2 linked regions of the Drosophila melanogaster genome follow. The protein of the gene in region 2 purifies or fractionates together with the protein of the main gene of each other region. This does not show direct contact. Each region holds a gene or a part of one and is shown on either strand. Other genes may lie near its edges. The genes, in order: ab and tai.

Evidence for each region.
Region 1: the proteins of tai (region 2) and ab purify together in Drosophila melanogaster (affinity purification with western blotting, with the first as the bait; one study listed by BioGRID). This does not show direct contact.

The regions. Positions count from the first base shown.
Region 1 is NT_033779.5:11,205,346-11,217,807, reverse strand, and holds the start of ab (abrupt), read right to left. Parts: upstream 7,131-12,462; 5' UTR 7,061-7,130; exon of another isoform or gene 7,035-7,060; intron 6,041-7,034; 5' UTR 5,845-6,040; intron 1-5,844. UniProt on the Drosophila melanogaster protein: Expression is vital for development; may be involved in transcriptional regulation. In embryos, muscle specific expression is required for segmental nerve b (SNb) motoneuron target recognition within ventral longitudinal muscles.
Region 2 is NT_033779.5:9,160,281-9,173,051, forward strand, and holds the start of tai (taiman), read left to right. Parts: upstream 1-6,497; 5' UTR 6,498-7,158; intron 7,159-12,771. Other genes in the region: CG32982 (uncharacterized protein), read left to right, coding at 851-988, 1,105-1,732, 1,796-2,428, 2,861-2,883; CG13108 (uncharacterized protein), read left to right, coding at 4,068-4,568, 4,740-4,940; CG9586 (uncharacterized protein), read right to left, coding at 5,320-5,592, 5,663-5,884, 5,943-6,104.

The sequences.
Region 1 (12,462 bases), 2.0 Mb from region 2:
TTGGTGACAGCAAGTTCCACATTATCCCACTTAAAAAAGGAAATATTCATGAAATAAAACTACAGATCCAAACAGAAGCAGACCACCGTATAGTGACTAAATACCTAAATGATGCTGGTAAAAACTACTACACATACCAATTAAAAAGTTGCAAAGGGCTACAGGTAGTACTTAAGGGCATTGAAGCAACAGTGACACCAGCTGAGATAATTGAGGCTCTGAAGGCCAAAAACTTTTCTGCAAAGACAGCTATTAATATTTTAAACAAAGACAAAGTTCCGCAGCCACTATTCAAAATAGAACTCGAACCAGAGCTCCAGGCACTAAAGAAAAACGAAGTGCACCCAATATACAATTTACAGTACTTGCTACATCGGAGGATCACCGTGGAGGAGCCGCACAAACGTATCAATCCAGTTCAATGTACTAATTGCCAAGAATACGGCCACACCAAGGCATACTGCACCCTTAAGTCCGTATGTGTTGTCTGTAGCGAACCTCATACTACCGCAAACTGCCCCAAAAACAAGGACGATAAGTCTGTGAAGAAATGCAGTAACTGCGGGGAAAAACATACTGCAAACTACAGAGGTTGTGTGGTGTACAAAGAATTGAAGAGCCGCCTAAACAAACGTATTGCCACAGCACATACATACAACAAAGTCAATTTCTACTCTCCGCAACCGATTTTTCAACCACCCCTAACTGTCCCAAGCACTACTCCAACAATTTCTTTCGCTAGCGCCCTAAAATCCGGACTAGAAGTGCCCGCCCCACCGACAAGAACTGCTCACTCCGAACATACACCGACAAACATCCAACAAACACAACAAAGTGGCATCGAAGCTATGATGCTATCCCTACAGCAAAGCATGAAAGACTTCATGACGTTCATGCAAAATACTTTGCAAGAGCTCATGAAAAACCAAAATATCCTGATTCAACTTCTTGTATCTTCAAAATCCCCATAATGGCTTCCCTACGGATATCTCTGTGGAACGCAAATGGCGTTTCACGGCATACACAAGAGCTCACACAGTTCATTTACGAAAAAAACATCGACGTAATGCTACTATCAAATCCCTCTACCAACACATTTATTCTCCCTCCTTTAATAGCAGCCAATCTAGATCCTCAAGAACCCTTTGAATTCCGACCATGTGAACTAGCAAAGGTTATCAAAGAGCAACTGAACCCAAGAAAATCGCCTGGCTACGACCTAATAACTCCAAGAATGCTCATTGAACTCCCAAAGTGTGCTATTCTTCACATCTGCCTGTTGTTCAACGCAATCGCCAAGCTTGGATACTTCCCTCAAAAATGGAAAAAGTCGACCATAGTAATGATTCCAAAGCCAGGAAAAGATAAAACGCAGCCATCATCATATAGACCGATAAGCTTACTAACATGTCTTTCAAAGCTGTTTGAAAAAATGCTACTCCTTCGGATTAGCCCTCATCTTAGAATAAACAACACACTTCCAACACATCAATTTGGCTTTAGAGAAAAACATGGAACCATCGAACAGGTCAACCGAATCACGTCAGAAATTCGTACTGCTTTTGAACATCGAGAATACTGCACAGCCATTTTTCTAGACGTCGCGCAGGCATTTGACAGAGTGTGGCTCGATGGACTTTTGTTTAAAATAATCAAGCTGTTGCCCCAAAACACACATAAGCTACTGAAGTCATACCTATATAACAGAGTGTTTGCAATAAGATGCGATACAAGCACTTCACGCGATTGCGCAATCGAAGCTGGAGTGCCGCAAGGCAGTGTACTGGGTCCAATCTTATACACCCTGTATACGGCGGATTTCCCCATAGACTACAATCTAACAACCTCCACGTTCGCTGATGATACCGCGATACTCAGTCGCTCGAAATGCCCAATAAAAGCCACGGCACTCCTATCCCGACACTTAACATCTGTAGAACGATGGCTTGCCGACTGGAGAATTTCAATAAATGTTCAAAAATGCAAGCAGGTTACCTTTACCTTAAACAAACAAACATGCCCACCACTGGTCTTGAATAACATATGCATTCCACAAGCCGACGAGGTAACATATCTGGGAGTTCATCTGGACAGGCGGCTCACTTGGCGCAAACATATAGAAGCCAAATCTAAACATCTTAAACTTAAAGCAAGGAACCTCCACTGGCTCATAAATGCTCGCTCTCCACTTAGTCTGGAGTTCAAAGCTCTTCTATACAACTCCGTCTTAAAACCTATCTGGACTTATGGCTCCGAGCTGTGGGGCAACGCATCCAGAAGTAACATAGACATTATTCAGCGAGCACAGTCAAGAATTCTGAGAATTATCACTGGAGCGCCGTGGTACCTTCGGAACGAAAACATACACAGAGACCTAAAAATCAAATTAGTAATCGAAGTAATAGCTGAGAAAAAAACGAAGTATAACGAAAAGCTGACCACCCATACAAATCCCCTCGCAAGAAAACTAATCCGAGTATGCAGTCAAAGCCGGCTGCACCGCAACGACCTCCCAGCCCAGCAATAAACTTATTAGGGCATTAATGAAAAAAAAAAACTATCACTAAGTGAAAGTTAATTAAGTTAGATTAAGATTTGAACACTTATTGTTAGTCTCTTAACACAAAGGGAAGATTCAATAAATAATAAAAATTAAAAAAAAAAAAAAAAAAAAAAAAAAAATAGAATATTTCATATCTAGTTGCGATTCAAATTATTTAAAACTAACCAAAATCCTAGAGTATCGAACTTAATAACTGTAACTGTATCTTTTACCTTTTTTTCATAGTTAATTAAAAGGACAGCCAGTTCGTACACTTTAGCGACTGTCCACTGTGACAGCAGCTTCAAACTTCGAATGTTTACGTTGGCTTACGTTCTCAATTGGTGTCGTTAGGAGTTCTCGAAGAAGAAGTGCAAATATTTTGATGAGAATATTTCTCCAAATCGATGCGATGCAGCTATGTACATATGTATATTCCGCTTAAGTCCCATGCTCCTGCAATAATATTTTCGAAGGATCTTTTTGTTTGATGATTTACATGGCAGGTAGCATTGAGAAAGTGCCACATCATTTTCATTTTCGCTGCACTTTTCGTGCACTTTGTGAGCGATTTACTGATTTTTGTGATTTTGTGCCAACTCATGCGGCAATCGCGATACTTTGGGCCAAGGCGCCGCCGTCGGCGAGTGAGAAAGGCGAACGTTGGAATCGAATGGCTTGGCCAGGTCCTTAGAGTCCTTTCTCCACATTCCTTTGTTTCTTGGCCCGCTTCACTTCTTTATTCTCGAGCGGAACTTCAATTACACATTTGCTCACATGCGAAAAAGTGAAAAGTCACTGGCCTGTCATGGGCCAGAAATCCAAATCTCATCTACCGACGGCATTTCTTTTTGGACCTCTCACACCCAAATCTCCACCCATCATTGAGTATCTCGGCATTTGGGCCACTTGGAAATCTCCTTTTTTTATGCCCTGCTCCTTTACATTTGATTGGAATTGTTGTCGTTTTGGTTGCGGGTCCTTGGCTAATGGCGACTGAGCATTTTATACCCTTTTTCGCAGGCAATAAAAACATTTTCTTTTTTGGCCACAAAATAATGAATAATATGAAGAAAAATACTTGCCGCAGCCGCGTTCGTTTTTTTTTTCCTTCTTCTGGAAAACAGAAAACGCATTAAGTGCGCGGTTTCCATTGTTTATAACATTTTTGCCACCCCAGAGAAGGAGGCAAAGGGATAATTAAGAATGCTTATTTATCTAGAACGCAGTCACGGCGCCGATTGTCCAGCTTCCTTCCACTTTTTTTTCATCTGACCGCAGGGGGGCAGAAACCCCATGAAAAGGTTCGTAAAAAGCCAAAAAACTTTTATTTTTTATGATAAATTATATGGAGTGTGGGGCAAAAGGATGCGGAGAAGACGGCGCCAACCAAAGGTCATTCGAAAACTGGGCAGGAAAAAAGTGAGAACCGAGGCTGAAGAATGATTTGAGACATAATGAAATAAAGCAGAATTTTAGAGAGAAGATGACGGCCAAAATGTACTTATATTCTGCACTTTTTCATACAATCTAAGCTAAGAGCAAAAGGTTATTGCACAGAATATAATTACAGAACTGAAGTAATGAAATAAGCTCTCAAACTCTGTGAGCAAATTTGTTAAGCTATGCGTTAAGTTTTAAAATAGTAATTATGGAATAAGAAAAATTTGTAAGCAACTAATAGGAGGTTCTTTATGCGAGTATTTGAATATGTAATGACTTTTTTGAATTCTAAATTGATTCCTGCTTACCTAATCATGCTTTAGGCCCTCAAACTAAAGTCAAAGGTCACCTGTTCTTGGACATTTACCAAACACTCGCAAGTGTTCAACCTAAAAATGGGTTTTCGGCCTGTGCCGCAGATTTTCTCCGCTAATTAGCCGGGCCGAAAGTTGGCGAGTTGAAAATTACCCAACACAAAAAAAATCTAAGAAACGGAGCTGGAGAATCGATGCCGGTGGGCAGCAGCAAAAGCAGCAGCGCACACGCAAATCACTTGTTTTTATGTAATTAACTGCTCAGCCCCCCAGAAAAGGCCATCGAAGTTTCTTCGCCGGAGGTTAACGGAGATTTGGCCGGGTAATTAACCAAAAACCGATCGCTTCTTGCCGCGTCTAAAGTCGAAGTTTTTGGCATAATTTCCAAGTCCGACGATTTGCGTTTTCGGCTTGTAAAAAAATCTCTTTCTGGTATTGGCTTCTTTTGGCCGTTCAATGACCGATAAAATTGCCTCAACCATCGCGACCAACTCGACCGACTCCATCGATGCCTTTTAGCGGGCTATTGATTATTAATATTTTCTATTTTTCCCTCTCTTTGTGTCTTTTTTCTGGTTAGTTGTTCCCAAACCCCTTTTTTTTAACCATTTGCTGTAATTACAGCGACGCGTTAATTGTTCGCCCCCTTGACCCTTTTGTTTCCCAGCATCCCCGGGTTTCCACATCTACGTATTTGTGTTTGTTTTCAACGGGCCGGTGAAAAATAAAAACAACACTCGCCCAGGCGAGGAATCTACACTTACGCGATGGTGTTTGGTGTTGGGTATCGCAGACCCCCGACTCCGAGACTAAATCCAAAAATTCAGTCGAGAGTCAGGTTCATTAGCTGCTATTACCATTATTGGCCATAACACACAACACTACCTACCTATGGGTGCCACAGCACTACTGCCTCCAAAAAAGTTGGCAATTACTGCACACGAAAATTCCCCCGAAAACGTTTTCCCTAAGTTGCAAGATTCATTTATCAAATCGCAAGAGGACACCAACTATTCGGGTCTGTCTTCAAGAGCAGCAGACCAATCAAGAAAGCGTGTAACACCAAAAAATACATAATTTTCTTAGATTCACACATTTTGGCCAACTAGTTTAAAGACAATTCCAAATGCTGACGCCTTTTGTGAGCCCGATTTTGTAAGCCATTAACTTCGGTTTACGATCACTGAGAGAGATCGCAAACAAAGATCGCGGTCATAAAACATTTGTTAACCTAATTCAATTTATGTAAAACAAAATCATGACATATAAAGTTATAAAAGTCTAGGGAAGCGAGAAAGTTCTATTTTACTACGATTTTAATGTGATCTAGTTAAACAGCTTAAACGATTTGATTCTCGTTTGGTTTCGTTTCCAGAATATTAGTTACATTAAATTTAAGTAAATCAATAACTTAAAATTCATATACTGTCAGAAAACAAACATTGGAACTAACCCCAAAGACTTCAACGATCAAATTCCCTGTTAAAAAGTTGCCATCCAAGCAGATTCGTACATACATTTCCAAGAATCAGTTTTAAAACTTACCGTTTGCACTGTTGATTTCTTAATCTTCTTTTTGAAAATTCACGATGATTGCTGAATTTGTTGTTGTGATGCCACAATTGTAAAATTTGAACACTTTTGAAACACTGAGGGTTATTTTCTTTGGGTATTTCCCTTTATGAATTTGTTTTCTTTAAAGCCGATTTTGAATTTAGTTTGATTTTTCAACACTGCACAACTGCAATCACAATAAGAACAAAATGAATGAGAATCGCTGGCAAATCAGAGAGCATTTTCCTGGGTTTTCCGAGAAGCGGAAAACAAACGAAACGAAGTAGAAGAAAAACGCCACAAGAATAAGAAGAAGACGAAGAAGCCGTCGCGCTGCACTTGCGATTTTTGTTGTTTTTGTTTTTTGTTTCGTGCGCTCTTTTTCGCAGCGAGTTTCGTGTTCTGGTTTTATTTTCTCTGATTCTGATTGCGATTGTGAATCTGGTTCTGTGTGAATTTCGTTTTTATTAATAAAATGCACAACTTCCGTTATTAATTTTGCAACGACAACAATTGCTGCGTGTGTGTGTGTGTGTGAGTGTTTGTGTGTTTGTTTGCGGATTTGTGACAGCCGCTGACAGGCGAAAAGCAAAAGCAACAAAGTGACAAGCATGAGCGTGTGTCGCCTAGGAGGAAAAGCGGAAAAGCAAACCGAAAAATAATAACAACAAAAAGTGGGCGACAAACGGGCGGTGGGCGGCAATCGAACGGTACAACCTGTCCGCTTTTTTACAACCGCCCCCACTTCCCCCGTTTTCTTCAACGATTTCGCTCCTGTGCACGCGACTCGCGCTATCTCGCTCTTTTGTTGCGGTTTTTTTTCTGCCTGTTAGCTGCATTCATTCATAAAAATCGGGTTGTAAAAAAAGAACAGCGGCAGCAGAAAAAAACGTCGCTGATTTTATTTATTTATGCCAATTTGCCGACGCGTCGCCGCTGCAGTTCTTGTTGTTTATAGTTTCGCACTAGGAACGGAAGTTTCTTGGATTTATTTCGAAAACAGTTAACAGCACCAAGTTTATTCGTTCCAATTCGGGTTTATATGCATTTTAATAGTTTTTCGTTTTTAATTTATTTTTATTTTATATTACAGTTCTTTGTTTTCTTTAGTTATGTTATGGTTTGTATTTATTTAGTTGAGAAGTTCAAATTCAGTTGTCTCTGTGTTTCTGATAGTTTACTAAGCCATCAAAACACTGAAAATCACATATAAGCCAAATTAGCCGCACTTGAACCACGACACTTGCTGCCCGTCTGATTTCTGAAATTGTACTGCGCGTAATAAGAATTCCTGTTTTCGTAAGCGGTAAGTAAAATCCGACGCACTCTTCGTCGGCTCCACGTTCGATGTTCGAAGTTCGACGTTCGATGCTCGTCGTTTGACGTTCGACGGCGAACATGTTGCATGCAGCGCGTCGGTGGTTTCTCACTCGTTTTTTTTTAGCCCCATCCTCCTCCAACTGGCCAACACACTCACAGACACACACACACACACACACACTGGCGCACAAGGGGGCTATTATCTAAGCCATACAATCAGATTGTGTTTACTTTTCCAACCGGGCAAAGTGGCAAGGTGAAGACTGCAGAGAGCCCGAGAAGAAAGAAAGACGGACGGCCGACCAATTGAATTGCAGAATTGCCAGCGCTTTCTTGGCCAAAAGTTTTCGGTAGAAGAGAGCAGCCCGAGTTTTTGATTCATTGGGTGTTAAGTGCGATAAAATGTGCGCTCTCTGATAAATTATAGTTTCCATAAATAAAGTAGCATTTCATCGAATTAAGTTATTTCTCAGTCTGAAAAGGAAATGTAAAATGTAAGTTTAAGTACAAAAATAAATATAAAAATGAACTAACCCTAATTTTTGAATTAAAATATACTTTAATTTACTTTAACTTTACTTACAAAAATGTGGACCAAATAAGAAAACAAACTAAGACACAAGCATAACTTTAGTCATTGGAATGCACTGTAGTTGTGAGACGGATTTCAATAAATCATTTGACCTTATTTGAAATTGTAATTAAAATGACGCAGCTAAGGAAAAACGTTCAAATGTGCAAATTACTAAATTTTCTAAACGGATGTCTAAACGAATGAATGTACACAGATATTTGTCCAATAATAGTGTAATTTAACAATAAGGCTAAAGATACATGAATATACTTAATATGATGTATTTTCCCTAACCATACTTTCCTTAGATATGCGGAGCTTTATGGTAGAATAATAATTCAAAAAAAGGAAGACAGTTCCGTGGAGAACTGGAACCGCACCTTAATCTTGCCCTCCTCCGATTTCTCGCAGTAGCCGCCCCTGCAGGAAGTCATTAAGCTGCCTGAGGCTGGAATAAATAAAGTTTGTCTCCCACTTCGGCAGACGCTAAAGCTATGAGGTGCCACCCCTCGGCAGATGCAACTTTATTAAAGTCGACAAAAACAAAATAAATTTACGTGTAAAAACACTCCAAATGGCAGAACACCGAAATTGTCGCCGCACCACCAAACATCCCAACGATCCACAAATGCACAGAGTTTCGGATGCAACGATCTGTAGATGCAGCTACAGCTTCCCAAAAAGGGAGCGCAAGTTGGTGGCATGCGGCAGCTAATGTATCTAATAGATACACGACAGCACGTCAAGCGCTTCCATTGGAGCGAGGTATGAAATTGGTTGGGCGGAGGAAAGTTCCATACCCAAACTCAATGGGTATATAATCTTGCACTATAAGAAAGAATCTAGAAAATTTTTCAATGTTTAAGAATTCTTCTGCAATTCTGTGTTAACTACTCATAATATATCTTGTTAATTGTTATATATAGCTAACAATTCTTGCCTTTTAGGATATCAAAATGTATTTCATAATTAAAAGATTTCCACTACTTTATCTCAGTGTAGCGGGGCTGAATTTCTCATTCTTCGCTTCACTTCGCTCCACCTTAGTTTTATGTTTGGCCCCACCTCCGCTGCATTCTCTTCGCTTCTCGTGCTTCTCTAATTAACATTGGGATTGTAGTACGCTTTTAATTTATATCTTATTGATGCCGGCGACATTTGTATTTATTTTTACCCACAAGCACCCCCCCCCCCCTCCACTCTTCCAGGGGCAAGAATGGGTGGTGGTGGTGTGTAGGTACTGTCCAAAATTCACTTCCCAAATCTGTTTCTTCACCGCCCCACCGCATCCCATCTAGTTGTGTGTGTACGTGTGGAATGTTATTTTTATCGAGAGTGAGTGAAAAAATTGTGGAAACCTAAAATTTATATGGAATAGGTGTCGCCGCGTCTTTATATTTTGGGTATAATTATTGTTAATATTTGTTGCTGCCTCCGCCCCTGACAGCCCCCCGCTCGTTCACTTCTTCTCTGCTCGTCTCTTTTTCCTTTGTTGTTGTTATTTTTTATCTATACTCTAATTAAAATATTCGGATGTATGCGCTTAATATATGTCTGTGCTCATATATGTATATATATAAATATAAGCATGTACATATATTTTAATGCCACGATCTGTCTAAATAATCTCGTACGCATTTCAATGGTCGAACAAAAATTGCTTGGAAAAAATGAAACTAATAAGAACAACAACAGTTGAATTCGTGGGTGGTTCAAGTTTATTTTTAATAAAAAGAATCAGTATTTTCAGGTTGCTTTTAATGGATTCTGTTTATGACATTTGTGTGATTTTGATATTATTTTAGTGGTGCATGTATATAAAAGCTGTGTTGGTCCATTGCTCACATTCTGCGTATGTACATATTTTAATTTAGTTCCACAAATAATACAATACAATTATTAAATGAAATATCTTTAAATATTTCAATATCCTCTGATTTGTCCAAAGTAAATAACGAACCAAGAGTGTTTTCTCTACAAATAAATACAAAACTATCTAATTTCTATGCGTTAATGTTTTCCTTGTTAACAGTGATATATAATTGATCAATAATTATTCAGTATCCACTTATTTTTCATCTCAGATTCCTCTGTTCTGCCTTCAATGGAGTCATCCAAGTTGGGTACTCCAATGCCTAATAGGGGGATATATCAGCCATGGAATGAAGACGCCGATCTGTTGCACACGAGGCAAATGACATTTCATTTATCTTGCAGCTCGTGCAGCAATTTCAAGCGGGTTTTCCTGGAGTTTCCCCAACGGATTAGTGGGTCGGGGAGTGGGGGGGGCTTAGCAGTTGCGTTGGCGACCAGCATTCGATGTCAGCGGATGAGTTATTGACACTCGAAGCTGCGTCCCATAAAGCTCTCAGTTCCGGTGATCTCGGGCTGAGTTATCAATGTGAAAAATAGAAACATGATTATGAAATTATCAAAAGAAATGCGTGTACGTGAAAAATTGGTTGGGGGAGGCAAAACGCCGAGCAGCAGAAGGTGTGAGTGAGGCGGGAATTGAGAGCCATCTTCGGATGGGTGGCGCTTTCGTTTTGCTTGAGTTTACCCCACAGTCTTAGATTGGATGGAATTTGTAGACCCAACGGTAGCATAATTAAATTCAACAACTTAAACTATCACTGTATAATGGTTGCGATTTGGTAAACACCCTGGAAAACAAAATTCAGCTATAAGTATTTGGATTTACTGAGCTAAAACAACATTGTTTGAAAAGAAAGCCTTACCACTTAGATCCTTTATCCTAAAAATTTATAAAATCCTATGCAATATCCATTTCCTTTTTTTTTAAATTTATATTTATACTACTTAAGTATTCATTATTTGTAGAGGTAAACTATCTATCTAGTAACCACCATCTGTAATTTAGGAGCATTCCGTTCATTTGAGCCCCAGCAATCTTAGCCTGCCTACACACACACACGCGACCTTCCATCTCTCTCTTCCACATTGTTGCCCTCCTTTTCTATCGAACGTGTGTGGACAATAGAAATGATCAAGGTAAATATGACTGTACATATGTACATACATTCGTTTATTTGTACCGCTCAACTCACCTTGCGGCGCACGAATTAAGACCCGAAAGAGCGAGAGAAAGATCGAGAGAGTGTTTCCATCGGTTTGGTTTTTTTGAAGATGATACACGAACCATGAATTTAATTATGATAAAGAAAAAACAATTTTATAGCCAACAAAAACACGCAAATAAAGGCTTATAAGAGTATTAGTACTGGTCAGCGTGGTGTATTTGTATTCGTGTGGGTACAACCTAGGTTATTATGTAAAATAAGTTGGAAAGCGTCTGGATAAATGGGTACTTTGCTGTGTATGAGTGAGTAGTATTCGATGGTGTGTGCTTTATATGCATGAAATATAAGTTGGTCGGCCATCGCAGTCTATGGATTAAGTGCCGTTGGCTCTATTACTCTCCACATTGAAAATCCAAAATGGCGGCGATCGCGATCGCATTGCACAAGGTACAGTTGCCTCCGAGCTTAGAGGGCATAACCGCATAAAACCGACTTGAATACGTATTACGCAGTCTGTGAAGACGTGGTTTTTGAAATTTCGAATTACTGCTGCCGGTTTTATCCATCCGAAACGAGATGTAAATTAGGATGCTATGTAAATTTCCGTTTAATATATGATGGATACGTATTTGTTAGTTTTACGTAGGCTAGGTATTGAACATTATTACTTGGCAGGTTATATTTAAAATATCTTATGCCCTCTAAATTATTATAACTATATAAATATGCACAATATGTCAGCAGTTAGAAATTGGCAAGTATGTTTCAAAACATGATCTCTGTGAAATGCGTACGTTTGCATTAGCTAGGATTTAAAAATTGATTTAACGGGGCTTGCTTTAACTGCAAAGAAATCATTAAACTAAAACTTAAGCTCAATAACCTGTCGAAAATTTCTTTGCAGCCGAACGTGGAATGAAGCCAAGACACAAGATGCGAAGTGAAAATTGAGTTGGGTCAAGCTGCTGCTAATGCTGAGCTACCGTAACACATTAAAATTATCTAGTAATTCCTCCTCGCCTTCAATTAGTGACCTGGCCGGGCAGGCAGTCAAGTCCAACGGTTGTAATTCACCCATCAGCGCCAGAGTTGAATGAACCAGGCCAACAGCGCAAACCAAAACCAAAACCAAATCGGAGTTGGTCAGGTCTGTTAATTAGCCAGAAGCGCAGGCAAAACAGAGACCCGAACCCAAAAATGCTAATAATACTGATGCTAAGAGTCAATCAATCATTTTGCAGTTTCACAGTGCAAAAAACACTTACACACATCTAACCATCCCAGCCATCCATCCACCCAATGAGGCATCTTGTGCCGAATGAACCAATTCCACGGAAGTTTTCATTGCGATTCGACCACCCATTGCTGACGCTGCAGTTACCAGATTCAGATACAAATACATTTGATATACTTTAGAAACAGTAAGAAAATTGTTGCAATCTATAGATAATATACAAAAGTTTTTGTTGCTTAGTACAAGAATATAATAAATAAAAAAAAAAGTGTTTTATGCGATCTCTAGAAACTTTAGCAGTTTTTCAGGCTACCGTATAATTAATGAGAAAAGTAAAAATCAATTGAGTGCCCCATAATTATCTGCAGTGCACAGCATCAGCATGAGAACAATAACTTGGTGCCGCATTAAAATATCTGCAATCATTAAAATTGCGCACG
Region 2 (12,771 bases):
TAACTTGGCTAATTGCCACATGCGGTGGCTACCAGCGACTCGGTCCCCAGCTTCTTGATTTTTTCCCCTCTTTCTGGGCCTGCTGACATATTTGCCTAATGGCCTCGCATAGTTCTTGGCCATAAGCGAGCGACAGCACGATGAATCGTTCGCTGGCAGAGTTAAAGTTTTCCTCATAAACAAGAGCTGCAAGCTGGAAAAAAACAAAAAACAAAAAATATTAAGTTCAATAAAAAGTTTAGCATGCTGAAAAGTTTGCGGTCCCTATAGGAAAAGCAGGCGATGTAGTGGTTGGTGGGCCACAGAAGAGAGAGACCTTCTGGCCTAATGACTTTTAACCGAGTTGCAAAATGCAAAAGGAAACGGGCCACGTACTAGAGTAAAAGGCTCTCGCTTAATTGGTGCATTATTTAGATAAAGTTGTAAGTTCCTAAGTTAGTGCTCAGCTTTTTTAAGCAGTCATTTATTTAACTTATTGAGGCAACTTTTATTCCAAAGAGACACAAATGATTTTTGTTACATTAGCAGACTTTTACATAAATCGTTCTATCGAAAACATAGAAATAACATCAATTGTTTTATAGTATTTCTTTGTACCTGATTGGGATCTAAACATAAATCATACTTCAGAGTAATTAGTTATATTCAAACTTAACCATATACACATAAAACTAAGCATTAAAACTGCAGACCCCTTTCCCATCCAACAATTGTGAAACATTCTCCCAGCGCCCCACTGAGTGTGATCCGGTCAAATCTTTTGTTGTTTTACATTCGGCGGAAAAACGTTTACATAACCTTTAACTTGATTGTCTAACGATTTGCATTGTCTTCTGCGGTTTCGCTTCAGGTCAAGCTGGTGGACGTGGAGAAGGTGGAGTGGCTGAATCGGCGCTCCTACAGCGCCATTGGTCTGCTACTGGGTCGCGAGGGTCGTGTTCTACTCCGCTGCGATGATGGCCTCGAGGATTGGTTCGAGCTGCTGGAGGTGAGTGGCCATGAATTGGATAAATAGCATAACTAACTTGGTTCAGAATTAGACATAATGGATCCACATAGAATTAAACCCAATCAGTATAACTAAACATTCGCTATCCTCTTTAGGAATGCACAATGACCTCCAAGGAGCGCAGACGAGCCCTGAAGATTGCCCAAGGACCCAGATCCCGAGCCTCATTGGCTGCTCCCGTTTCGCATGCTTCGCTGCAGTTCCAGCATTTTGGACTCGGAGGCACTTACTCGAGTGCCCTGGACGATTGGCTGATGACGAATGGAACCGGTGGTCTGGCCCGGCACAAGATTGGAGCTGGCAGTCTGAACGGTTATGGCGGGGCCAATCCCTTCCTGTTCTCCGATTCGGTGCCGGATCTGAGTGCCCTGAACAACGAAAACCACAATCATCACCTGAGCGGCATCAGCACGAACCACTCGACGCCGCAAAAGATACCGCACCACAGCAATGCGAATCTCAGTCGATACTCCAATGGATATGTCTCGGCCCAGAACAGTTTCACCCAAGCCGGAGCACTCTACGGATCGCCTAGGCGGATCTTTATCAACAGCAGCTTCGGTTCCAATCAGGTGGTGGATGAGGAGACCGAGGAGACGGAGGTTCAGCTGAGGAGACCCAGACTGTTCCGGGGAGTTAGCGCTACTCCGGATAATGGCAACGAACTGGACCGCGATTGGCTGTACCGGAAGCCAAGGGCGCCCACTGATATGAGGCACTCAGGTGGGTTTCAACCTTTGCTTTGAATGAATATGATATTAATATTTGCTTATTTATTATATTTAGTTCAACCAATGTTACCCACTGGCGGCGGCAGCAACATCGGGCTGGCCAAAACCGAACTGGACTGTTCGGCCCATGATAGTGGCCTGGACACGCCCCCATCGACGCACCGCCCCTCGAGCTACCGGGAGGCGAGCAGGGACAGCACAGAGACCAATGGCAGTTCGTCGAGGGGAACACTGCTGAATAACTCATCGCCAGGCGGCAGTTTTCGAGCCAAAAAGCTGAGCACCCAAGTAAGCAATCTCAATCAGTTGAATTCCCTGAACGGATCGAGATACTCGGTGCAGGATCAACGCATCTTGAAGATGCGCAACAACGAGGAGGATCGCTGTGCCTCCATCAAGATGGCCAATCGTCTCAATCAGAATCAGGAGCAGGCCACTTACGATCCCAACCAGAATCGCTACTATAAGAACGGTAATGCCACGCCCCCCACATCACTGACGCCACAGCATACGCCGCAGCACAAACTGACGATGATGCACTATGGCAATGGGAATGGGAACATGGGCACCCTGAATGGCAACACCAACGGATCGGATCGCATAAACGGATCGGCCATTTTCCGGGAGCGCTACCAACATCCCGCCCTGGCCGCCATCATCAACGAAGCCCAGGGCCTTAAGTTTCGAGGTAGGTTTGAGGATTTATACGGTTTTGCTTGCATTACTCATCGTTCATCTGGCATGGTTATGGGCTGGCTTTAGGATCATATTTGGATTGGTTTCGGAAAACGTAATATGCTGGAATGCTCCATTAATTAGTTAAGATAGTTTTGTACCATTTTTAGTTTTAATGCATTTCATTATTACTTATATTTTTATTTTTTACTTTTATTCGTTTATATGTTTTTAGCTTTAAGTAGTTTCATTCTTAATAATGTTTCAAAGTGTTTATTATTTAAACCCATCTTAAAGGGGATGATTAGGATTTTTTTGAATTGTATAAAGTTTTCTCTTTCAAATAAATCATCCTCACTCCATTTTATCATTTGTTATCAAAAACAACACCCTTAAACCTACTTATAATGTAAACTTTTTACTTTTGCATGTTATCAATATAAAGAAGAATCAGAAAATATGTGGTAAACATACCCAAAGCCCCAAATTGTGCATGTTACACAAAGTGTCCAGCCGACTGGCCCCATAGTGCATGAGAAGATCGTGATGTTGAATGGACCAAAAGATATAGATAAAGCGATCCTTTCCCCAACTTGTAGAGCGGGCCTATTCGGACAGTCAGCAGCGTCGCCTCAACAACAACAATGGACCGACTCCCCAACCAGCCTCGCCACTCGCCCAGCGCCGGAATAATGGTGGACTCGGATCCGGAGTCGGATCGGGGGCTATATATGGCACGCCCACGCGTGTATAGCGCCTAAAGGTCTAAAGATAATCCAAATCGATGGAGAATTGATTGCTCCCCCACTAGTTTAATAATGATATAAATTAGTCGGTAAATTAGTCGACTTGATACAAAGTTTTGGAAATTATTTGCATAGAAAATACTTCAACGAAGGTAGAGAATAGTAACTAAATCTTAACTATGTAGTAGTACTCGTAGTGTGTGTGCTCCAATGTCCAGCTTTATGTAAATGTTTAAATAAAATATACATTAGTAAAAAGCATCTTAATAAAAGATAAAATAAAACTGGCTACTATTATTGGGAAGAATGGGTTTAAATATATGGAGAATATTTCTAATTGGCCTATGTTTGCCATAAACTGTTGAATGGTAAGTTAGGTGTTCATTGTAATTACGAAATGATTGAAGCGAGAATAATTTTTATACAAGAACCGCTCAATATTTGAGTACCAGAAAAAACAACTGTTGATTAAAAATGAATTCATTTCGGAAAGATGCAAAACGATGCTGAGCTTTGACCTAATTTAGGCGTGGTCTGAAGATGCAGAGATCAAGCTTCTTGGGATTTGGCGAAAAGCTTTCAGGATTTGCTGCAGGACTCCTTTCGATTAAGCTCGCTTTCGGAAAACTTTTCGGAAATGTCTTATAAAAGATGCAACACTAAAAAGCTCGCCAGCGCAAAAGCTTCAGCCGAAAGAGAGGACAAGCTGCAACCCCTTAAAGGATAATTCTGGGAGACCCCCTTGTGCGGGCAATGGAATGGGCTTTTCGGAGTCAACAATAAAATTTTCAGTCAGCTTTGAGACGCAGCAGCCACAGCAGCAGCAAAAGCAGCAGCAGCAGCCGCTGCAGGATTTAGCGGTCGGTTCAACCAGGAGCAGCAGGAGTAGAGAATTTTCGCGTCAGAATGCGAAGTCGCACGGAACTGGTGACCACCACTTTCGAGGAGAGCGACGAGGATGATTTCAGTCCGGACGATTCCGACTCCGAGGAGGACTGGCGACCCACCAAGAAACGTCCGTCCAAGCCATCTGGCTCCGATGGCGGCAGGAAGCGGAAATCGGCGGCAGCCAATGCCTCGAAGGCCAAGCGCCGGATGGCCAAGGTGAGCGACGAGGAGTCCGACGAAGAGGATGACCTAGAAACCGATCCCAGCGACGACGACTTTGACTACCCGTCGGCCAGCACTTCAAAGCGACCCCAGAGTCTGCCGCCCAAGAAGCAATTTGTTAAGTTAAGCCAACTGGATTTGCTGGTAAAAAAGTCTGATCTTATGGAAAACGACTGGCTAAAGAACAATCGCTTGTGTCTGTGGCGCAAAGATGAACAAACGAATCTGCTTCAGAAGTATCTGCGGGTCAAGTCGGCTGCCGAGGAGGAGGAGCTGCTCTTTACCTCCAGTTCTGTAGTGAGTGGATTATTTGTATGACAATGGTGGTCACATACATGATATACCAATGTATACTTAATCAATTCAAGTTATTTGCATCAATGTGATAATTTCAATATACCTCCTGTGACCTCCTGTGTTTATAAATAATTATCAATAAGCATTCTATTAATATACTTAATTTTGCAGTATTCCAGTTGGGATGATCAGCAGACGAGCGACTTCATAGAGGTCAAAGTCAACTGCTTGGATCCCAACAACAGACGTATTAAACTGCACGATCTGGAGGCGATTAAGAAAATCTCCGTGGAACTACAATCAGAGCGAAATAAGAAAACGACATCGGACAAAGAAGATACTTTGGAGGCGGAGGAGGATAAGCAAAATTAAGCTGATTCTTAAAAAAAAAACAACTACTAATTATACACAAAACTAACATTTTCATTAGTATTTACAACTAGTTGGCCAAGTTAGGGTTAAACAACAAATTTCCTTGTAACAGCTATGTGAAAACAGCATTAAATTTAATTTAGAAAATTAAAGAAACTAAGAAAAAAAAAGGAAATCAAAAGGAAAACATTTGAAAATATCAAATTAAAATCTTGGCGTTTCAATTTTAATACATTTATATTCAACAGTTCGGTAGATCTCTTCAAAGTTTACTTCGCTTTAGGCAAACATGCAAACATTCAAGCGAAATGCACTTTGTACAGATTTGTTGTTTGTTGTTTTTAATAGAAAGAGTCTAAAAATATTCGCTTGGGGACGGTTATCGACGCCGTTCGCCTTTGACGGTTTTGCGTTTCTCCTTCTTTTCCTCGCGCAGTTGCTTTTGCTTTTCCCGATCCTCTTTGTCCTTTTGCTTTTTGGCCGCACTATCCATTCGGGCCTGCTCCCGCTTTTCCTTGGCTAGCGCCTGGACATCCGATTTGTTGGTATTCTTGGTGAGCGTTCCACTGTCATCCTCGCTTTCCGCCTCGGAATTCTCGTCGTCCTCGTTGGCAACGGCAGTCTGCAAAAAGATTGGCATTGTCATTAGATACTAGATACTTCTACTTTAAAGCTAGTAATAGATATCTGGAATCAGCAGCTTGGCCAGCATGGATAGCAACCTGGGAGTATTGAGCTAGAATCTGCTGCTTGATGCGACGCTCCTCTTCGGTGTATTCACGCTCCTTGTTTACGGCGGGTTGCAGCTTCTGTTGCTCCAGCAACTTGGCCAACTGGGCATTCACATCGATATCCAGACCTTTTTTCGGCGGATCATCGGCGCTGGGATGGCTCTGTAGCCACTTTTGTAGTATGGTGGCCACCAGTTCGTCAATGTTGGCGGACTGCAAAGATCACGGACCATAATTTATGTAGGCAATGATATTACTAACCATAACTTACACCTGTTTCGCTGAGAATTCCCTCGAGAGCCTCGGTTTTTTCATCTGTCGTTTCGTCGCCCTCCAAAATTCCAATAATATACGAACCGAAAACGTTCTCGTCGGTGTTCAATTTGCGCAGCTGCTCGTTGAGCCAGCTCTGGAAGTCATCCGTGGCGCTCATGGTTACTCGGTATTTGATTTAAATATCATGTATAGAGGATTTTATTTGCGGAATAAACTCTGGCAGTGACAAATCAGCCGCAAAAGGCAACAAAAAAATTTGTGGAGCATGTGGCGCAGTGTTGGTGAGCGTTGACAGCGGAACAGCTGCTGCAGTAGCACTGCCAACTGACTGGAAAAAGAAAGTTTAACAGAAAATACAATCATTTTACTGAAATAGAATTTTTAGAAATAGAATATTATATATATTAGGTAAATTCACAAGTTTATTAATTGGTCTTTCTATTTTAATAATTATTATTTACATTAATATTTTCCAAACTTGTTGCTGGCAACACTGACACCTGAACACTACTGTTAGCCAACTGTTAACTACCAGCGAACAGCTGTTGCCGCAGTGTTGGTAAATACCCGCACACCTTTTAGTTGTTTGCCGATTAAAAAATTACGCTTTTTGTTTGAAAACGAAATATTAACTGCTGTGCTATTGAAACTCTGTCAGAATTAAAAGATATTCTATCTGGCCTGCCATCTCTTATTGTCATACAACAAGAAGTCTTGTGACACAGCTAAAGGCGTGAAATGGATCAATTAAACTTATAAACAAATTGTTTGTTTCTTTTGACTGAAATACTTGTACGGTTTTGTGCGTAAATGTGCGCTCGTGTGTGTGTGTGTGTTACCTATGCGTTCGTGTGTGTTTGGTGATTTTCTGATAACTCACATCGCAGCAAACAGCGAAAGCAAAAGCAACAATAACAAATTGCAGCAACAACGTCACACGTCTGCGACACCTGCGTCGCTGTCGCCAAAGTTGTGTTGTTATTTTTACTGTTGCTGCTGTCGCCGCTGTCGTCGCCATCGGCTTTTGTTTATTTGTTGTTGCGTCGCGTCGTAAAGAAGGAAAAGCGCCCACACACACACACAACACACACACAATCGCGCGTGTGCCGTTGGCAACAAGTGGAATATATACAAACGAAATTCATACAACCCCATGTTAGTGCGTGATTTACAAGAGGCAGAGAGAAATCCCTTCGATAAGTTAACCTGAGGTTAGTGATATCCATCGGAAAATACATACATATGTACAATCATACATATGTATGTATGTATGCCAGTTGTGGCAGGTCTGCGATTTCATAAATTGATTGATTGTCAAAATAAGACGTGCTAATTGATAACGATATCATATATAAAACCATCTCCTAAGAATATTTTTTTTCGAAAATAAGTAAAATTAGTTATTGCCTTAGGATTTACATATATTTATGTGTTAGGCATGTGTTATAAATTATTCATTAATTACAAAAACAAATAAATTATATAAAATTAAGATGATACATTTTTGAGATACCTTTATGTTTGCGCACTTTTGAAGTGCTTTGGAGTTGCCTGTGTGATCTCTGGCTCCCCTCCTGCCAACATTGAGTTGGCTCCTGCCACATTCTTGGCATCCTGCCGCCCACAAGGACCTCCGCCCACTTTGCTCCTTCGCCTATCGACTTGCGGCGGCCGCAACCCGAGTTGTGTTGACTGTTTTTTTTTAATGAGCCAGGTTTGTTTATGGGCTTGTTAATGTGAGTGTTTTACACTTTCCAATCCGTGTGCATATTCATGCGAGCGCTCCTCGGCGAACGCCTCTGTGTTTGTGGTATGCATAATAAAGGCCATTAAAATTAAGTAATTGACGCTGGCAGCGAGCAGACGACACCAGAAGGGGGAGGGGGGAAGGCAGGCGGTCTTGACTGATTCAGCGGCAGCGGAAAGGTGAAAACCGGAAAAATGAAAAGCACGGCAAAACGAAGAATGTTTCGGCCTAAAATGTACATACATATATAAAACCTCAGCTTTTCGTCATCTATCTCGCTCTGTTGCGTACAATTCGCGCTCTCTCTTTCCCAAAATGCAGAATTCGTCATTAAATTGGAGACCCATTTAAGTTTCAGCGAGCTCATAAAATTCACACGTTTCATTGCTTGCGATTTTGCAATAAAGCACAGTGGGATCAAATACCATAAAACTAAAAAAAAAAATTAATATAAAATGTTTGAACCGTTAATGCTGTTATGTTTGTATATAATATACAAAAATACTCATTACTTTCCTTGCCTTTCATGTTTTTGAATTCATTGTTATTTCCTTTTTAGGCCCACTGTGCGCATTCTTCTTTTGGGGGTTCCTTGTGTTTTACGGCTCTTTTCAACTGCCAGTTGGTAGTTGGTGGACACGCCCTCGCCCATAAGAATTTCTTGTTCGCTGGTTTATGGCAGATTTGCTCGATGGCTCTGCTTTTGGCCCGCTGCAGTGGGCCAAAGTCATGGCCCTAATTGTGGGAATGAATTAAATTGATTTCCATATCATAAACCCAGGCTTGCGGCCAGGCAATCAAATGGAAAACGCAACAAGTCAATGGCAGAAACAAAAAAAAAACAATTTGGCAGGGAATTTATATGTGAAGCTGCACTTCACATAGCAAAATCAATTCAACAACGTGGGGTGGTTGGTCTTTTCGAGGATGCCACGGGGCGCTTATCCTGCAAAGTGCTTTCCATTCTTGTGGCTCGTGGAATTTTCCAGGACCACCCACAGTGAAAGCGAGAGCTAATTCCGTATGGAGTGGCGATGGCTGCTTGGTGGGGCGTGTGGCTGTGATCTCTATAATACCATTGCTTATTTAGTTTGCCGCTGGTTCCGTGTTGTGTGACTGAAAACATATGCGTGCTTTTTGTATTTCGAATTTAAGTATTTAGTATTTGCTGCATGCGCTTTAAATTAAGGTGAGCTATGGAAAAATGTGAAAATTTATCTGATCATTGAATTTTTAATAAGAAAAAAGAGGCGGCATGTATTGATGGAAACTGTACTGTATGCCATACAAATTTGTTATTATTTCTTTATTATTCAAGTGAGTTGCTAACACTTATTCAAAATGAAGTTCTTCTCATTTTGCTGCAATTCCTCAAAAGATTAACTTAAATAACAACCATGAAGTATATATATTCTTATTTCACGAGAATTCATTAAAATATCTTTCCAAACTATAGAGCTGTGATAAGGGTTTTCTGTTATCTTAAGGAATCTATCTGTTACATTCCATTTGATTTTCGTCTCCTGAAGGGTTCATCTCTTCCAGTTGGGATGCTAAGTAGCTCCCTGGGTTTCCAAACCCAGCCCATTTGCCCCGGAGGACATCGCCTGGCACTCAGTAATGTGATTGGAAAGGCTTCGTCGGCTTGGGCTGCCAGTTGGATACCACGATGGTAGGTGGTAGGGGGGATCACCATGGGCGGTTGATGGATTCCATTCACTGTGCCCTCTCGTATCCACTTAACTATTTCGTTGGATTGGGGCACGTTGTTGTTGCTACAGCAGCTGCCGCTGCCGCTGACATTTTCATTTTGCTACAGTAGGGCTACTGTTTTTCCCGCTGTCGCTTTTCCTTGTGCGCTGTATCATTGCCATGTCGTTGACAAATTGTCTAGATGAATGGAAGTGTGGGTTCGATCCCTGGGATCCTGGATAACTAACTGAAAGTGGGAGATGGAGATGTAGAGCGGAGCCCTTAAATGTGTGTCAATAAATGTGTGTTAAAATTGCCGTTAGGCAGTAGGGTCATGGTGATATATGTATAAGGTTGCGAACAAGCAAGACTCCTGTTGCGCCCAACAATCGCAGGCGGTGGTCACCGCCTGCTCCTTTGGATTCGCTTGTTCCGCGACCAGATGGCTGGCAAACAATTTTCAATTAAGCGCACAATCACGATAAATAAATCTCATTGTGCAAAAAGCCAGTTCATCTACACGAGCTTAGCTTAACTTGGCTTTTCTCCCGATGTACAGCAATTTTCTGCGGTTTTTCTTTACCGTGGGCGGTGGGAGGCGTGCTGCCTGCAATAAAACTCCACCCAGGTAGCGACTTCATTGCAATCTTCACAAGCTTTTCCTCCAGCGATGCTAACACGCTTTTGCTTCTAACTGATGGCTAATGCTCTGCACACAAGCGGGTTTGTCGGTTTTAGCCAATGGAGTTGGTTGGTTGGTAACCCATGAATCATACAATTAATTACTGGCTTATGGTGTGAATTCGCATAAATTAAATCCACATTTGCACAAGAGGTGAATGCAATTAAATGAAATCAAACTGAATAATTGTATTGTATGGAAAGGTTTTCTTAAAAATTAAATATGCATTTTAGTACCATTTTGAAAGACAAACAGTCAAAGAAATTTTTATTATATATTTGAATATACGAAACAGCAATAATAAATCATTAATACATGTCTTGGCATTAGTTTTTGGCATACCGATAAGTGCATTTGAAATTCGCTTTGTTTTAGCCATTTCCCCTTCTTGTTTACGTTTTATTTCCTAGCCATAAATTCTGCGGTTAAAATGGCAAGTATTGAGAGAAATTGAGAGAAGCGAAGCGTTAGTGAGCAATATGTTTTTATAATGCTTGGATCTCAATTTATGGGCTAGCCCACAAATATTCATCTAAACCGATTGTTGCGTGTGGTCCAAATTGACAAAATACAAGCGCACATAATGCTATAAACCAGCGGTATAAATAAATAAAAAAAAATAAGAAGAAAATGCAAGCAAATTTAATCAAGCGAAATTTAACAAGATTTCCGTGAAGCGACTGCCGTTTCCTCTCAACCCGCCGCATCTTTCCCATCCAATGGATAGAAGCTGCTCATCCCCGGCCACAAATTAAGCAAAATCTTATACACCCCCTCCGGATTTCAGATCCTCATAGCTGGCCCTATCAAAATATAAAGCCAGCCGTGAACCAAACTTGATTTCGCTGCAGGAACATATCTTATAAAGTAAATAATAAATCAGCGACGAGACATTATATACATATATATGAAAATGAAAGAAGTGTACATAATGCCGGGAGATTCGCACACATGCTTTTCGGGGATTGAGATGCTGAAAAGAGGCTCCTAAAACCTACCCATAGAAGATTTAGTGGCTTCGTCTTTTGGCTCTCGTTGCTTAGGTAGCACAAAAAGGAAGTAAACAGGATTTGAGCTTTACCGGGAATCTTTTCTTTCTTATTTTCGTGTTTTTTGGATATATATATATAATTTTTTTTTTTGGTTTTTGTGTCGTGTTGCCTGTGTTTGTTGTGTCTTTAACCTCTCGGACATTAGGTACCAAATAGTTTGATATTTGGGGCTCTTCTTCTCCCTTTCGTTTAGGATGTGTCTTAGCTGTGCCTTCGCTGGTATTTACTTAAGGAAATTCGATATATTTAAATATGTATATTATTTTATGGTGTCTTTTCTGCTGCTGTTGGCGCTCCTCGCCCGGTGGTTCTCTTAATAAATTCTGTGAATTTTAATAAATGATAAGACTCGTGTAATTTGAAGACATTGTACATAATTTCTGTCATTTTTTTTCGCCCACCGATTATGTGCTTATGTGTGAGAAAATTTTTAGAAGATTGGTTTTATATATATTAATGTGTATTATTTTGTTTTATATACAAGAGTCAGTCACTTGATGCCCTCGTTTCGGAGAATTTATTAGCACTAAAATTGGTTTATAAAGTGTTTTTCACAAGCGGAAACCTTAAACTTTATTTATTCGGGTAAAGAACATGATAGAAATAAAGCTATTATTATTATTATTATTAATATTTGTTGTAGCCTAGCATAAGTGATTTTCTTGAAGCCAACTTAAATTGAAGCTCTCTTGCCTGCTTTTATTATGCCCTGTTAAACCATTTTGAATTTATAATCACATAGATACGAGAAAAAAGGCAATTTCCATAGGGGTGGCATTCCGCATTTGATCAATTATTCATTAAAATGCACTTTGGGCTCGGTTTTTATGGGCATTTCCTATTTACACCTATCGTGTTGCTTTCGGTTTTCATTTGCCAGCCATCCATGCTTTTCTGCACAAGTGAGCAATTATTTGTGCAACATAATTAAAATTTTATTAATTCATAAACAAATGCGCAGAAGAGAGCGTACACAACTGGGATCCAAAAAGGGGGAAGGACTCCACATTGCAGTTGCCTTTCAGCACTTCATCAACGCCAAATGTTGCTGCACTTGCTGCTGTTGTTTCCTCTGCATCATTCATAAAAAATGCCATAAATGCAGACAGAGCAACAACATCAGCACGTAGAGTAGCCTCACCTCACCTCTTCAGGTGCGAATTTGCCACTCAACCCTTCATCCCTGCCCCACCTGCCCCTCCCTTCCCATCGGCCACCCAAAAGCCGCCTTATCCATCGGCCTCGTCACCTTGTCAATTTTACATGTAGAGCACGTGTCGCTGCTCGTGCTCAGTTGTTGCTGTTGCTGTTGCACTTGCTGCTGGCAATGGGTATTTCTTGCTCGACTCTAATTAAAGAGCTCTTCAGTGGAGCTCCTTGAACCTGCAACACCAACAAATGAGTAACTGCCATATAGAAACTTTTAATTTGAAATGAAAAAACCAGCAAAATATATATAGAAAATATAAAAAGAAACGCTAAAGTCGATAATCTCGACTATAAGATACTCGTTAATTGTGTAAAGAGCGACAAAAATTAAAATTAAAAAAATTTAGAATTTATAATTGTGAAATTTCGATACGGACAAACATACGGACAGTATGGACACTCGGATATAGCTATATGTATCAATAATAATTCATATTTAATG